Linked DNA regions of Nothobranchius furzeri. The protein of the gene in region 3 purifies or fractionates together with the protein of the main gene of each other region. This does not show direct contact. Links are inferred from orthologs where the notes say so. Each region holds a gene or a part of one and is shown on either strand. Other genes may lie near its edges.

Region 1 (5,442 bases), on a different chromosome or scaffold from region 3:
TCTCTTAACTAGAACATTCTTATAAACAGACGTGCTGAATTTGGCAAGCGCATGATTCACAACACGGAGGAGATTCACGATTGCATCTAGTCAATCAGAAGTAGAACACCGTAGACTGACGCGACAAAAAAACATGTTTAACATCCACTATAACGAACTCAGCTAAAACACTAAGTCCAGCTTGTTTATTTTCTGTTACTTACCGGGCTGGCTCTTCCAAATGACGGCTCACTTGACCGCGGTGCTCTTCCTCAGCCCCCACGTTTTCGTCTCAAATGTTCACTTAGGGACGTCGTGCTTCCGTGCCATGCTAGATGGTTTTTGCATATTTTGCCTTTTCAAGGCATCTAGACTGAAGTGCTCCCATACTCGTGAGGTTTTTGTCCGGGGTTTCTCTAAAGTTTTGTCGCTTCTATTTTCTTCCGTATTTCCTCTTGTTCCGCCATCTCTCACAGCAAGATGAGCGTCAGTAACGTGATACGTCATGAAAACCGAGGGCACTCATTGGCTCATTTCTTCTTCTACGGCTCCACTGGTAGATCAGTGGCTCATTACTGCCACACACTGGCGGCAAATTTAACAGCTTGTAACCGATGTCAGATTGTGGTAAAAAATAGACTTTATGCGGTAAAATATGATTATTAAACAACTAATCGATGACTAAAAAGGTTGTTAACTATTTTAATAATCGATTATAATCGATTAGTTGTTTCAGCTCTAGACAAGACAGAGCTGAAAACGGCTTGTGCATGCGTCGGTCACTGCCTCCGCTCAGGTTTTTTTTTTAATGTATTTATTTTAACTCTCTCACTCACACACACACACCTCAGTCAACATAGTTTTGTTTAACCGTGTGTGGGAAAAATGCCAACAATGTGAGGAAAAAATCAGTTTAATCAAATTAAAATAAATTCTAGTATTTCATATTTCCTAGTTCCTACTGCATGAGTTCAGATGCATTTATTCATGCACTTAAACATTAATGTTCTGATTTTACTGAAAAACTTGTTCTGTAATGGTTTCTTTACTATTGTGATCAAAAATATTTAATCTCAGTTCTGAGGCTGCTCTGTAAATAGTTTTCAGATAAACAATACACATATCAACTTCTGATCAATCCAATTTCAGATTTAAAATAATGCATTGATGTAAACCACACCCACTAATTTACAAATAATAAATAAGAGGTGCATTCATCTGTGTATCTCCTTTGATCCGCATTAGTGATATTTTCAGCACCAGAACAATGAAGCAAAGAAACAGATTCCTGAGTTTGTTAGTAATTTTATTTATTAGGTGCATCTAACCTGTTCTATTTTTCTCTGAAATGAGATCAAATCAGTGCTTCTATGGGTTGTCTCCTCTCTGCACTAGAAAAATTTACTTTATTATAATGTTCACTGTAATGCATCTTGATGTTCTTAACACAAATTAAATCAAAGATATGGGTCAATAATGCCAAATATGTAAATTTTTGTTTCAGTCATTTTTATACTGGCTTAAAAATACTTCATTAAGTCTACTAAGCAGGGGTGTAGAAGGGTTTTTAATATTAACATAAAGGTGAGACTTGTCAATCATTCTCCCCCCAGCACCACCACCGGAAAAATTCCCAGGGGAAACGCTTGTCTGACAGCTAGAGCCGATTCCAACAGGGTTCTAGTCGAGTCAACTCATTACACCAGATGAAACCACAAACATGTCACTAAACAGAGCAGATAACAAATGCTTTATAGCACAGAGTCAATGTGATCAGAATAGGAGGTCGTCTTGGCTGTGGTCAAGTGGGGTCATTCCCCAGACGGCTACTGGTCGTGGTCAGGCAGAACGCCGAGACCCCTCTAGCAGCCGCAGGAGAAGCTCTGATCCAGAACGGAGCAGAAGCAAAGACCACAACAGGCCCACAGCACTCAGAGAATGGATAAACCAGTTCATCATATCACATGACCAGGGTCAAACATGTCAGCAGGCACAAACAGGAGGAGGGGTTCCTGACCTTTAATAACAAGGGCCACTGGGAGGAGTCCAAAGTGGGGACTTTGGTGTCTGGCTGGATTAAAAACTCTTGACTCTCTTGGATCTCCTGTTGAATAAAAACATCAGTTTGTTCAACAGGAAGAGAATCTCCAAATAGATCTTAAGTTGAATAAATTCACACCAACCCCAACATCTTCAGCCACTCTCTTCGACTTCTTCTTCTTCTTTGTGGATGCTGCAAAATAAAAACCAAACTAAAGTAGCATAAATCCTTCCTAAAATCAGAATTCCAGGATTTTCTCAGAGAACAACAATCTACCGGGCCCTAAGTGGTGTTTTGTCACTAGCCAGACTGCTCAAGTGTTCACCAATATTCTAGACGAGTCTTCATGCCCACCGGGAACTGAACATTGCATTATAACAGGTTACTGGTCCCAGGTAACCTCAGGTTAAAGGTCACTAACTCCAGGGACCATACTACACCTGCTTTTTAAAAGAGTGTTCAACAGGTTTATCCAGGCGATTACCTTCATGTGTGCAGGAGCAGCAAACCTGCAGCACGTGCAGCATGGTGGCCCTGGAGATGGGCCCTGCTCCAGTGCAACTCTGAGCCCAAAAGGGCCTTTCAGTGGAAAAAGTACGACCGAAAGAAAGTATTTTATCTGAAGGAACAGAAATTTAAATCCCTGTTGCAGTTTGGTAAATTTGGAAAACTGTAAATGAATGATATAGAGCCCACGTGGCCTGCAGCTGCAGCACGTGGTGGAGCGCACGTGGCTGCTAGCGGAGCTAACAGGCCACTGACCGAGAACCCGCTCTCTCAAAGTTAACTACACTAAACGCTGCTGGAGCTTATGAAGAAAACACGAGTCCACAGAGCAAACCCTTAGTTCTGTTATTGAATTAAACCCAACTACTAAAGCATGTTGGACACGTGGAGGGATTTGTTTGTTTTAACTGGCTCAGACGCTGCCAAACCTCCTCATAGACCAACTTAGGAATTTTTTTTACTGCGATTCCTTCTGCGTAAAACACGCTTGTACGTGCACGTGGACGTGTTGTTAATAAAATCCCTGACTCAGCAGAATTATGTTCAAACTTAGCAATAAATTAAACACAGACTGTCGCTTACAAAACGTGCTCGACACTCACCAGCTTCGTCCGCCATCTTCTAATGAAAGATTCTTCTTCTGCTTGATGTTTTATGGCGGCTGGCACGAAAGTACTTGGTGCACTACCGCCACCAACTGGTCACAGAGCAGAAATGAAACCAAATGAGGTAAATAAATAAATGAATTTGCTATTTAAATACAATTTTTACATAATTAAATATAAAATGGAAAAAAATAAATGTGAAAAATAATTCTGACTTTTCTTTCGGTGGTTCTAATGCTCTTCTTTAATTAACTAGCATCCTGGGGGGAAATAAACACTAAAAAAGGCCAGTGATATTTGGAGTCAGATAAGTCTGTCATTAAGTAGTGAGACACAGATCACTGGTGGGCCTCTAGTGCAATAGTGTGTTAAAAAACGGAAAAAACATGAGATGACTGCGGATTTTAGAAGAAACGGGAACATGCTAAATGCTTGTTCCATCCTGGGAGAGAAGGTGGAGGTGGCGGAGGAACATAAATACCTCAGTGTCCACCCGGACGGCAGACGGGACGGATCAGTGTTTACAGTTAACCCCAAAATCCCACTATCTCCGCGTAGTGGAATTTGAGTGTCCACAGCTGCAGATCCAATAAAAATACTTCCTTTTTTATTGTTTGATAAACGTGTGTCCACTCCAGGCCAGGTGGGGGCAGTAATGCTGCACTGCTACCACCCACAAACGTCGAAGAAGAAGAAGACTCAGCATAATTCAGCTGGATTTTATGCGAGAACTTCAGGATCAGATGGAAGGTGAGGATCTTCTTGATTAGTGAAGTAGTTTTTGTTCAGGTCTGAATAACCTGCAGCTTCCGGGTTAAAACATTCTGATGACGTGTGGATGTTTTACTGCAGGGTTGTAAATGAAACCCTGCAGAACCCAGCTGCCTCATCAACATTCACTAGGACAACTTATTTAGATCGTTCCTGTCCGCAGGTATTCTGTCCCATTACTCGTGGCCACACTGCTCCAGGTGTTCTTTCTCCAGATGTTTCTGCTCTTATCACAGATGTTCAACAGCATCTAGATCAGTTCAGAACAGTCCAGTGCTTGGTTCTGATCCATTCTCGGTGTTCCTAGCTGTGTTTTCTGATGATAGACTCTGGACAGTAGATTTGGCTCCAGAGGGTCTTGGTGGTCCTGGGATTGGACCCTGAACCTTTTCAGGAATCCTTGGTCCAGGTGCAGTGAGTCCAGAACAGAACTGATCTTCCTCCATCTTCTACAGTGTTTCTAGAGCCGATTTCCATCTCATCAATCAAAATGATGCTCTCCCTGAAGCTCGTCAGTGTGGTTTTTGGTGATCTCTAGTCTGTTCTTTTGGGTTTTTCTGTCACCAGGAATCCTCCTGGGTCTTCAACCCCTCATGGTGGGATCAGAAAGGCTTCAACAGTCCTGGATGCATTGTTTGTCTGATTCTTCCTTCTGATCAACCTGAGAGTGGATCTCATCTCGGATCCACGTTCTTAGTGGTTGCCCACATTCCCATCAACCTCCTACTTTATTAAAATTGTCAGCTGAGGTCCCAGGACCATGAAGCTGCCTGGAGACGGTCTATGAGCCGTGGCCTTTAATACCCCTGACCTTTGTGAGCTCATCTGACAGCTAATGTTTCTGTGGTCCAGGTTCAGTTTGGCCCAACCAGCTGCAGCATGACTCCTCAAACGGGTCAGATGATGGCTGATGTGAAGTGAAGTTAAACCAAAAGGACAAATGTCTCTTTAAGGGGGACAAACCTGTCTACCCAAGCTAGTTTAGCAGATCTTTGTATGACAAACAAATCATTTCTGTGTGTGTGTGTGTGTGCTCCGTTTCACTGCATGAAAGGAGAAATAACACAAATTCACGGTTTCTAGGTGATTCTTGTGACACCTCAGCGACCCCATCAAACAGGAGGTGCACCTGGATCACAGGAAGTGCAAGGAAGATCAGAGACAACGCCGCTGACTGGCACAACCTGATGCTCAGGTGGGACAGGCTGAACGACGAAGGATTCAATTTGGCAGCAAGTATCGTCAACATGAGGCAGTGAGTTTGTTATTTAGGTTATTTTTCTCTAAGTTAGCCCCCCCCCCCCCACACACACACACTAGATACCCTCTGGGATCCAGATGAGTAAGGGTGGAGATAACTCGTTTTCTTTAGAGCAATCATAAGACGGAGCTTTACTCGTTTGTCTACATTAAGCTCTAAGCGGTCGGTTTTTAAAGACTCATAAATCAGAGGGATCATCAGCTGTGGTGATGTTTATGTCTTCAGTTCTCAGGGAGATCTGCTGGTGTTGGACACGTGTCCACCACCGTCACAGTCCA
Region 2 (5,155 bases), on a different chromosome or scaffold from region 3:
GTATTATTTAGTCTGGCCATGCTCCATTGACGGCTCTCGGTTGTGGGGCGGGTTCTACCGTTGTCTTTCAAATGATCTCCGCATTCCACTGGACAATGAATGTGACATACTCTTGTTTCACTCTGTTGCATCATCCCACCCACCAGGCATATCGAGTGCCCTGATTGGCCCACAAAGCGGATAAAGCTCTGTGATTTGTTCACTAAGCAGATAGAGCACTATGATTGGCCCACCATTATGGACCAATCACAGCTCTTTGTGCGTTTGAAACCCCTCTAGAGAGCTGTGCTTGGCTAGCCAGAGTCCTGGTAGGAGCTGCGGAGGTTCCAATGGAGCGTGCCTAGACCAAACTTTGCAAAGCAAGAATTTGGTCTAGTTCCCTAGGCTAACATCAGTCAGTAACACTAGTGAATAGTTTGGGTGCACTGGTTTTTATATAGTTTCTCTAATATTTGATACATTTAACTCATTCACTGCCAATGACGGCTAAAGTAGTCATTTGCATACTGTTTGGGCGTCGGAACGAGACCCCCGCACCGTGAGAACAAACATTTCAGCTCTAAAGCCGATTTTCATCCGCATACGTCACGTGATCAGGAAGCAGAAAACCCATGTGTTAGATCTTTCTGGGCCGCCGCGGTAAAAAAAAGTGAGGCGCAAACCGGAAAAGCTTCTGCCGCAATTCACAATCACAATTCATCAACGGATTATGAAAGAATGGATAATGCTCGCAACGCGCGGATTCTTCCTGATGTAAGAGGTGAGTCTACTCTTTGTTTTGGCATCGTCATCATCCTAGCGCGCAACGTTCTGTGACTCTTAAAAAAACTGTAAAAACGGTGAGAAACGCTGGCAGCGAAGGGCTTTACCGATCAGAAAACAGCTGGCAGTGAATGAGTTAATATATACAGTGCTGGTGCCGTCTGCTCTTTCTGCTACAGACTGAAGACTGATGCTCAACACAAATACTAACAACTGTTTCTCCTGTTAAGTTCCTGTCTGATGGCTCACTAAAAGTCAGATCCAGCATGGCGGTTATATCAGCAGGCGGCTGGTGAGCGGACAAAGGTAAAAAATAAAACGACAACCTGAGCGTTCCTCATCTCTGGGGTTAAAGAGAAGATGCTGCTGAGTCAAGAGCACTGAAGAGTTTCATTCATATTTTACATGAAGATGTACTTAAAAATAATCTTTTTTATGTTTTAATTTTTGTGAAGTGCCTCTTTTTTCTTGAGAGGCACTTTATAGAAGATAGATTTCTTCCTTTCTTCAAGATATAGTGAGTTAAAGACTGAATATACTTTAGATGTTGCTGGTGTTTTCAGTGTTATCGATTATTAAATCATTATACATTTATTCAGTAGAATTAATCTTCCTATTCTAAAGTTGTGTATATTTATGTGTAAATTTGCATCCCTGAAAAACATCTGCTTAAAAACATTGTCAAACATTATCAACTTGCATTTCTCTTTTGCCTGTTTTGTATATTTAGTACTTGGTCAGTTTATTGGCATTTTCACTAATCCTGTTAAAATGTTTGATTTTAACACTGAGCTGTGCACAAAATTAAGATTCAACAGTTAGTTAAATGCAGTGTTAACAGTTTAGGTTCAGAAATGTTGTGCGTTCACTGTTGTTTTTAGTGATCATTTAGCATTCAGAGAAGGTGCCAAACACCAAGATATCGGCCATAAAATCAGCTCCAAAAAATAAGCAGCACTTATCGGCCATTGGCTGACCATGACCGCCTCATATCAGTCTCAGCAATAAAAAAACAATATGGGTCAACCTGTAGTTCTGAGTCTAGACCTCAGAGGCTCCAAAAGTAACTGATGTGTGAATGCTAAAGCTCTGGCTGGAGAGAGATGGTGGAGAAGCTCTGGGAGGTAATGTGGTACAACAAAGGAGTAGGAAAATAAAACATGGGACAGAAGTTTAAACTGAACCCCTTAACTGGACAGAAATCCAGTGTATGGAAACCAGTACAAGTGGGATGCGTTTTCCTTCCCGTCAAATGCAGAACAACTTAATGCCATTTGAACAAAGACAGACAGAGACGTGTGTGTGCAATGTAGAAAACTCCAGGGAAGATGTGATAAAGGGATGAACTGCTGTCTCAAATGGGATATATAGGACTTAACTTTGTTAATAAGTACAAGTTTGATGACTGTTGTCTTGACGACCGACCTGTTCGTCAGATTTAAAGATGGAGTTTGAAAAAAAATGACACACAGCAATCTAGCAGATGAATGAATATGAGAGACCAGAATGGTAGTCAGACTGTCCAAATATGATCATTTCCACTTGTTTTTTGTTTATGTCCATCACTGTTTGTACGTCGGATTCTGAATAGATAAAATAACTGATGGAGAAAAAATTGAAAATCACCAGATAAAATGTGTAATCATAACCAGAAATTTTAGTTTTCTCTTGGTTTGTTTATTAAAAGATGTTTTTTTGGTCTTGCGCCCTCCCAAAAAGTATGCATATGTGTACAGACTACTAATGTGTGACTGCCCTATAAGTACTTCAGCAACAATGCCAAGGATTCGGTTTGTAAAACAATGAGAGTTAAATTTAGTAATAAAGGTAAGAATTTAGGCTAGCTAGGGTTCGCTAGGTAAAGCTATCCTGCCGTTGAAAAATCGAAATTATTAGAGACAAGAAATATTTTTTATGTAACCTTAATTTTTTAGATTTGGTTTCTGGTCTTTTTTTTTTTTCCAGTTTAACTTTTACTTACTTTATGATTACAAGTTTCTCTCGCGAGAACGTGCTTTTTCAAACGAAGCCAAGATCATTATTTACTTATCACGTGGTTATCAGTTAGTTAAGAAAATTACAAGACAAGCTTAATGGTACGTAATAAACTGCTTAATGTCGCTGCCCAGTCACATATAAACTAACCTAGCAATGTAAACTGTATCCAGTTATGGGTAACTAGCTTCATGCTAACTGATGCATTGGATTACTGTTTAAGGGTTAGCGTCGTGCTAACCGTAAACACGTACCTCAGTGTTGCGCCAAACGCCACCCTTTATCATAATTCGCGGCATCTTTGCGGTCTGCTGATGTCTCCCTCTTCAACCGAATATGAAAACTACTTCTTCACAAAATTGATGTTCGGGAGAATTTGTAATAAAACAAAACCAACGGAGACGCAATGCGCTGTACGAGGAAGGAAACTACCATGAACCGGATATTGTCAGAAGTCTCCTCCTCTTCCGGTACTTCTGTAAAGTTTTTTTTTAACTAGAAAACTGCCTTCAGCAGTTCTTAGCAGTTATAAGAAAAGAACTGCTAAAAAGAATCATCCTACTCTGTGATAAAATTAATAACACGGAGGATGAACTAAGAGAGCTAAACTTGCTCCAAAAACAGCTTGACGAAATTTATATAGAAAAAGCGAATGGACGGAGCCTTTGTAAGATCCAGGGCTAAGTGGATTGAAGAAGGCGAAAAGAACTCAACATATTTTTATGGATTAGAAAAGTCTAGACAATACAAAAAGAAAATATGCAAATTAAGAAAAAATGACACTGTAATAGTAGACCAAAATCAAATAAAGGAGGAAGTTCAACGTTTTTACTCAGACCTATATAGTTCTAATTTCTGTGAAGAGGAATGTAAATCCTTCTTCACTCAGATAAAGAACAATATTAAATCTATTGGAGAGGAAGACAGAAAAAATCTGGAGGATGATTTGAATATTAAAGAAGTAGTAAATTCCCTGAAAAAAAATGAAAAATGGGAAATCGCCCGGTATTGATGGATTGACCTAGGAATTTCTTAAAATTTTTTGGGAAGATGTTCAAGAATTGTTATTAAGTACATTTAATGAGTGTATAAATGAAGGATGTCTTACCCCAACAATGAAAACTGGAATAATAACCCTTCTTCCCAAACCAAAAAAAAGATTCAACAGACTTAGACAACTGGAGGCCAATTACTCTGTTGTGCAATGATTATAAATTATTAGCGCTATTATATGCAGAAAGACTGGAAACGGTAATTGATGAAATAGTAGATGATAATTAGTCTGCGTTTATAAAAGGAAGAAGCATACATAATAATGTAAGATTAGTACTGGATATGCTGGATTATAGGTCTATTTTGGAAACTGACAGCCTCATTTTATTTATAGACTATTTCAAAGCTTTTGATTCTATAGAACATATTTTTTTATTTTCCACCCTAGAATATTTCGGTTTTGGAAAAAAAAAATTTGTTCAGTGATAAAAATGTTCTATACTGATTTTATCAGTTATGTTACCTTAAACCCAGGACTAACAAAAAGAATAAATATAACTTGTGGAATAAGACAAGGATGTCCAATCAGCCCCAAGCTGTTTATCTTATGTACACAACTATTAGCATATCTAGTAATACATCATCCAAATGTTCAGGGTATAAATTTTTTTGATTATGAATTTCGTTTAAGTCAGTTTGCAGATGACACAGTTTTTTTTTCTAAAGGATAAATCTATGGTTAACAAGGCATTACAAATTATTTCAATTTTTTCCAAAGCATCAGGTCTTCGTCTGAACACAAAAAAATGTGAGTTACTTTCACTGTATGAATGCACAGATAATGAGATAATGTCAATTCCTGTTAAAAAAGAAATAAAATATCTACGAGTTAAGATAATTGCAGACGAAAAACAAAGAGAAGAAATCAACATGAAAGAAAAAACTGATCAAATACAAAAATCTCTGAACCAATGGCTTAGCAGAGATCTTTCTATTTTGGGTTGACATTTATTGTCCAAGTCTGAGGGTATTTCCCAATTGATCTATCCATGTCAATCCCTTTATATCGCTCCAAAAACAGTGAAAAATATTAACGCTATTATATACAAATTTATATGGAGAAATAAAACCCATTATATAAAAAGATCCCAGTTAGTCAAAGAACATAAAATGGAGGTATGAAATCTGGATTTTGAAGCAATGCTGGGAACATTTAAAACAAACTGGCTGAAAGAATTTCTAATAAAGACAGATACAATTTGGTTTCATATTCCAAAAAATGTCTTCAAGAAGTTTGGGGGGCTAAACTTTCTTTTGAAATGTGACATTGAAATCACTAAATTGCCTTTTAAATTATCTGAATTTCACAAACAAGTATTGCATTATTGGAAGATGGTATTTACCC
Region 3 (3,458 bases):
GCCTGACGTAGCCATGTGGTTGGTGCGAGTCACTGAGGGGGGTAGGGGGCGGTCACATGTGAGGAAGGAAGTGGACGTCCACATTTCCACTCTTATGTCATTTGGTTTTCACACAGTTTAAAAGGCTTCTGCAGCTCGGCTGTAGTCTCTACCGAACGAGGCTTAGTCTGCAGCTCTGTTCTGTTTCTAATCCCAAACAGCGTCTCCACAGATTGATGGCTTGTCTATTTGGAAATCTGACTTTGGCAAAATGGTTCCTCTTACAATAAATGGCTTTGTTTTGATTCCTGGAGGTTTCTGCAAATAAAGGAGTAATGAATGGATGCAGCTTTGCGCCAGGTGGAATCAAAGAAAGCAGATTACGGTCTATCAAAACAAAGTTGCCAAATTAATGGACGGCTCTTTCAGTGTAAACAGTTTTCAGTGTGCGTGACAATTTGATCCCATGGTCCCACCTAGGGATTTTCATCCAGGGGTTTCCCATGACGTGTTAACCAGGATTTATCCTCAAACCTGCACCACACCTTCCCTTCCTTTATCTCTGGTGTTTCTGTGGGGGGTGGGGATGTTTTTTCTGCACATGGTGAGCTCACTTCAGGTGAGTGTTGTGTCAATAAAAGAAGTAATTCAGCATTTAAACCCCCCCCCTGCACATTTTAAGGCTGATTTTGTTTGTAGTGAAGAAAAAGGGAAACATGCTAAAACTCTGCTATCAGGTGGAGATATCAATCATTCCTGTTTTCCTTCAGTTTCTCCGTCTTTCTGCCAAACAAATATCCGAGGAATGTCACCCTGATCCCCCCCCCACCCCCCCAGCTCACACAGAGAGGCTTCACCACCTCGTCACCCCACCCCCAACACGAGCACCCACCCCTGCATCCTGTAGTTTTTTTAGGGTGGTGGTCAGTGTGTTAGTGGAGCTTTGTGATGTGGGTGGGAAGAGGAGTGGGGGGTGGGGGCTGCGGTGAGGAATGCTGTTCCTCCGGTGGGGGGGTATCTTCAGGTTCTCTGCTGTAGAAAATGAAGCTTTAAGGTGCTTTTGTCATGCGTGATCCTGTTTAGGAACCACTGGGTGTAAACAATGAGTTCTATCGGGGGGGGGGGGGGGGAATACCTGATAAGTGCAGTTCTGATCATATCACACAACAAGAGGAGGTCAAAGTCTCCACAATCTGGAGGCTTGTCTAACATCTAATTATCACCAATCAGCTGTTGCATAAACAAAGGCAGGATGGAACCAAAAATAGTCCTTTAACCTCTTATGGCGTCAAATCAGAGATACTTTCTTAATCCCAGAGGGAAATTCTTGGTCATTGGTTTGTTTCTTTGTTTCGCTTCAGAGCAAGTTGCATATGGAAGGTTTCCGCAGCTTGAAGGAAGGTGAAGCTGTCGAGTTTACCTTCAAAAAGTCGTCCAAGGGCCTGGAGTCTCAGCGGGTCACCGGGCCCGGAGGAATCCACTGTGTGGGCAGCGAGAGGAGGCCCAAAGGCAAAAAGGTCCAGAAGCGCCGCTCAAAGGGAGACAGGTGAGCTGGAAAAGTTTGGAATGTCTAAAGACTTAGGCTGTTTTTACAAAACAAGGCCGTTGATTTGCCACAACGCTGAACCGGCGTTGGGCCGCTTATAAGTAGTCAAACGGACAATTACTGCAATGTTACTACCAAGCAAGGCGGAACGAATGTCGCAAAATTCGCGCATCGCCATGCCGCGTTTAGGAGACGCACTGTTGCGGTAATATTACGCTGATTTGGCGGCACGGTGTGTCTCGTAACAAGTTCACTGGCTTGTAATCAGCTCTACTTCTGCCAAGAGAAATCCAACAATTCCCTTTAAGTCATGGATTAGTGATGAGGTAGACATCCACATACGCCTGGCTAAAGATGTTAGGGAAATTCTTCAGAAAGACCCTTTTCCTCAGGAATATTTGAGCTTGTTTATTTTTAAAACAACAATGAGGTATAGCTTTAATCATCGATCCAAAAGCAATCTCCCCATTCCGCTTGTGGCCATGTGTAAAATGATGTTGCTTTCATTTCCTTTTTTTGGGGCCTTTTCCCTCAAACCCAACCCCCCACTCCCAGCCCCGGCAAGGGGTCACATCAGCGGGCCTGACGTGTGACCCGGATCAATAACTGTTTAAATCTGCTGCTCCCTGGTGAATTCAAACCTGCCCGCTTTCTCCCTTCTGTTGCTAAACCTCTGTCACCGAGAAAAGAGGGCCAGATTTTCTAAATGACCCAAAAAGTGTCAAGTAAACAAAACCGGAGGGAAGCTTGGGTCTGTTTTTGAAGCTTGGGTACGACGTGAGGTTAAGGACGCCTCAACTTCACCTAATGTCAGCTGTGATTACAACCAGAGAGAAGTGAGTGTGAGAACAAGGATCATTACCGCTTCAAAGAGTCCTGGGAGGCTGCTGTGGTTCAATACGTCTTCATAAACCTCCCAGATTCGTGGATAAGGCTCCTTCATCATGTTTCATTATGCAGCGCCGGGCGGAGCTTTCTGGATCTGCTGCTGTGTAAAGGAGCATAGAAAACCCCTTTTGAGTGGTGTAATCGGTTGTTTTTGCTAGTTTTTAACTTTAGCCCGCATTTCATAAAATACCTGTGTGTGTGTGTGTGTGTGTGTGTGCGTGTGTGCGCGTGTGTGTGTGTGTGTGTGTATCATTGGGGGAAAAGTTCCTGTCCATTTAATTGATAACAGATGCAAGAGCTCAGGCAAAGGGGGTGAAGGGTCATTGTTGTCATGACAACCGTGTATGAATAAAAGGAAGAGAGCTGGGGGCTCTGAGAGAATTTGGGGGAGGAGGTGGGAGGTCAGGGTTCAGAGGTCATTACTGCAGCTTTTTTAGACAAAGGGACCACTTCCACTTTCCTCCTGATGGATGCTGATGTAGGGAGCTGCTGTGATGTGACGGTGAAGACCTTGACACCACTCAAACGCCCAACGTTACAAAGTCCCCCCCCCCCCCCCCCGCCTGACAGCCGCCCCGTCCAAACCTCATCTGCTACCACAAAAGTGTCAGAAGTGGGAGGGGGTCCGCAAAGTCAAAGAATTACCGCCTGACGCCCACAGTCCATCTGTCTTCCAGCCCTGTACGCGTGGCCATTCTATAGATTATGTCGGAACCGTGGTGGCCGATGGCACCCCGATGGCTCCAAATGACCCTAACACGGCGTTCACTTTCTAAAGTTCAATGGCGACGGAATGGATGCCACACTTTGGTACAATGGAGGCCAGTCAGATGCTTCTGTCAGTGTCAAACTGATAAATAAGACAAGCTGTGCACACTAAGGTAAATGATCCCTGGAAACTGCTTGGAAACGCAGAAGAAGAGGTCCACCTGCTCCAAAAACGCCTGAATGAGCACTACAATCTTGATGTTTTGAAATCTTCCAAAGCTTCATTTTTGCCTATCGTAAAATTTGCTGTGGCCTGGAATGCCCTTTTAAAGGTTTT

The links. The genes of interacting proteins can lie anywhere in the genome.
Region 1: the proteins of lin28aa (region 3) and dkc1 purify together in Homo sapiens (affinity purification with mass spectrometry; 3 studies listed by BioGRID and IntAct, with this or other methods). This does not show direct contact. The link is inferred for Nothobranchius furzeri from reciprocal best matches to the Homo sapiens genes LIN28A and DKC1.
Region 2: the proteins of lin28aa (region 3) and cdc5l purify together in Homo sapiens (affinity purification with mass spectrometry; 3 studies listed by BioGRID and IntAct, with this or other methods). This does not show direct contact. The link is inferred for Nothobranchius furzeri from reciprocal best matches to the Homo sapiens genes LIN28A and CDC5L.

The regions. Positions count from the first base shown.
Region 1 is NC_091758.1:16,263,211-16,268,652, forward strand, and holds the start of dkc1 (H/ACA ribonucleoprotein complex subunit DKC1), read right to left. Parts: upstream 3,225-5,442; 5' UTR 3,146-3,224; coding exon 3,130-3,145; intron 2,213-3,129; coding exon 2,163-2,212; intron 2,084-2,162; coding exon 1,997-2,083; intron 436-1,996; exon of another isoform or gene 204-435; intron 1-203. Other genes in the region: cinp (cyclin-dependent kinase 2-interacting protein), read left to right, coding at 3,855-3,882, 4,987-5,158, 5,390-5,442.
Region 2 is NC_091752.1:40,105,044-40,110,198, reverse strand, and holds the start of cdc5l (cell division cycle 5-like protein), read right to left. Parts: upstream 3,225-5,155; 5' UTR 3,057-3,224; coding exon 3,012-3,056; intron 1-3,011.
Region 3 is NC_091745.1:71,963,885-71,967,342, forward strand, and holds part of lin28aa (protein lin-28 homolog A), read left to right. Parts: intron 1-1,340; coding exon 1,341-1,525; intron 1,526-3,458. UniProt on the Homo sapiens protein: RNA-binding protein that inhibits processing of pre-let-7 miRNAs and regulates translation of mRNAs that control developmental timing, pluripotency and metabolism.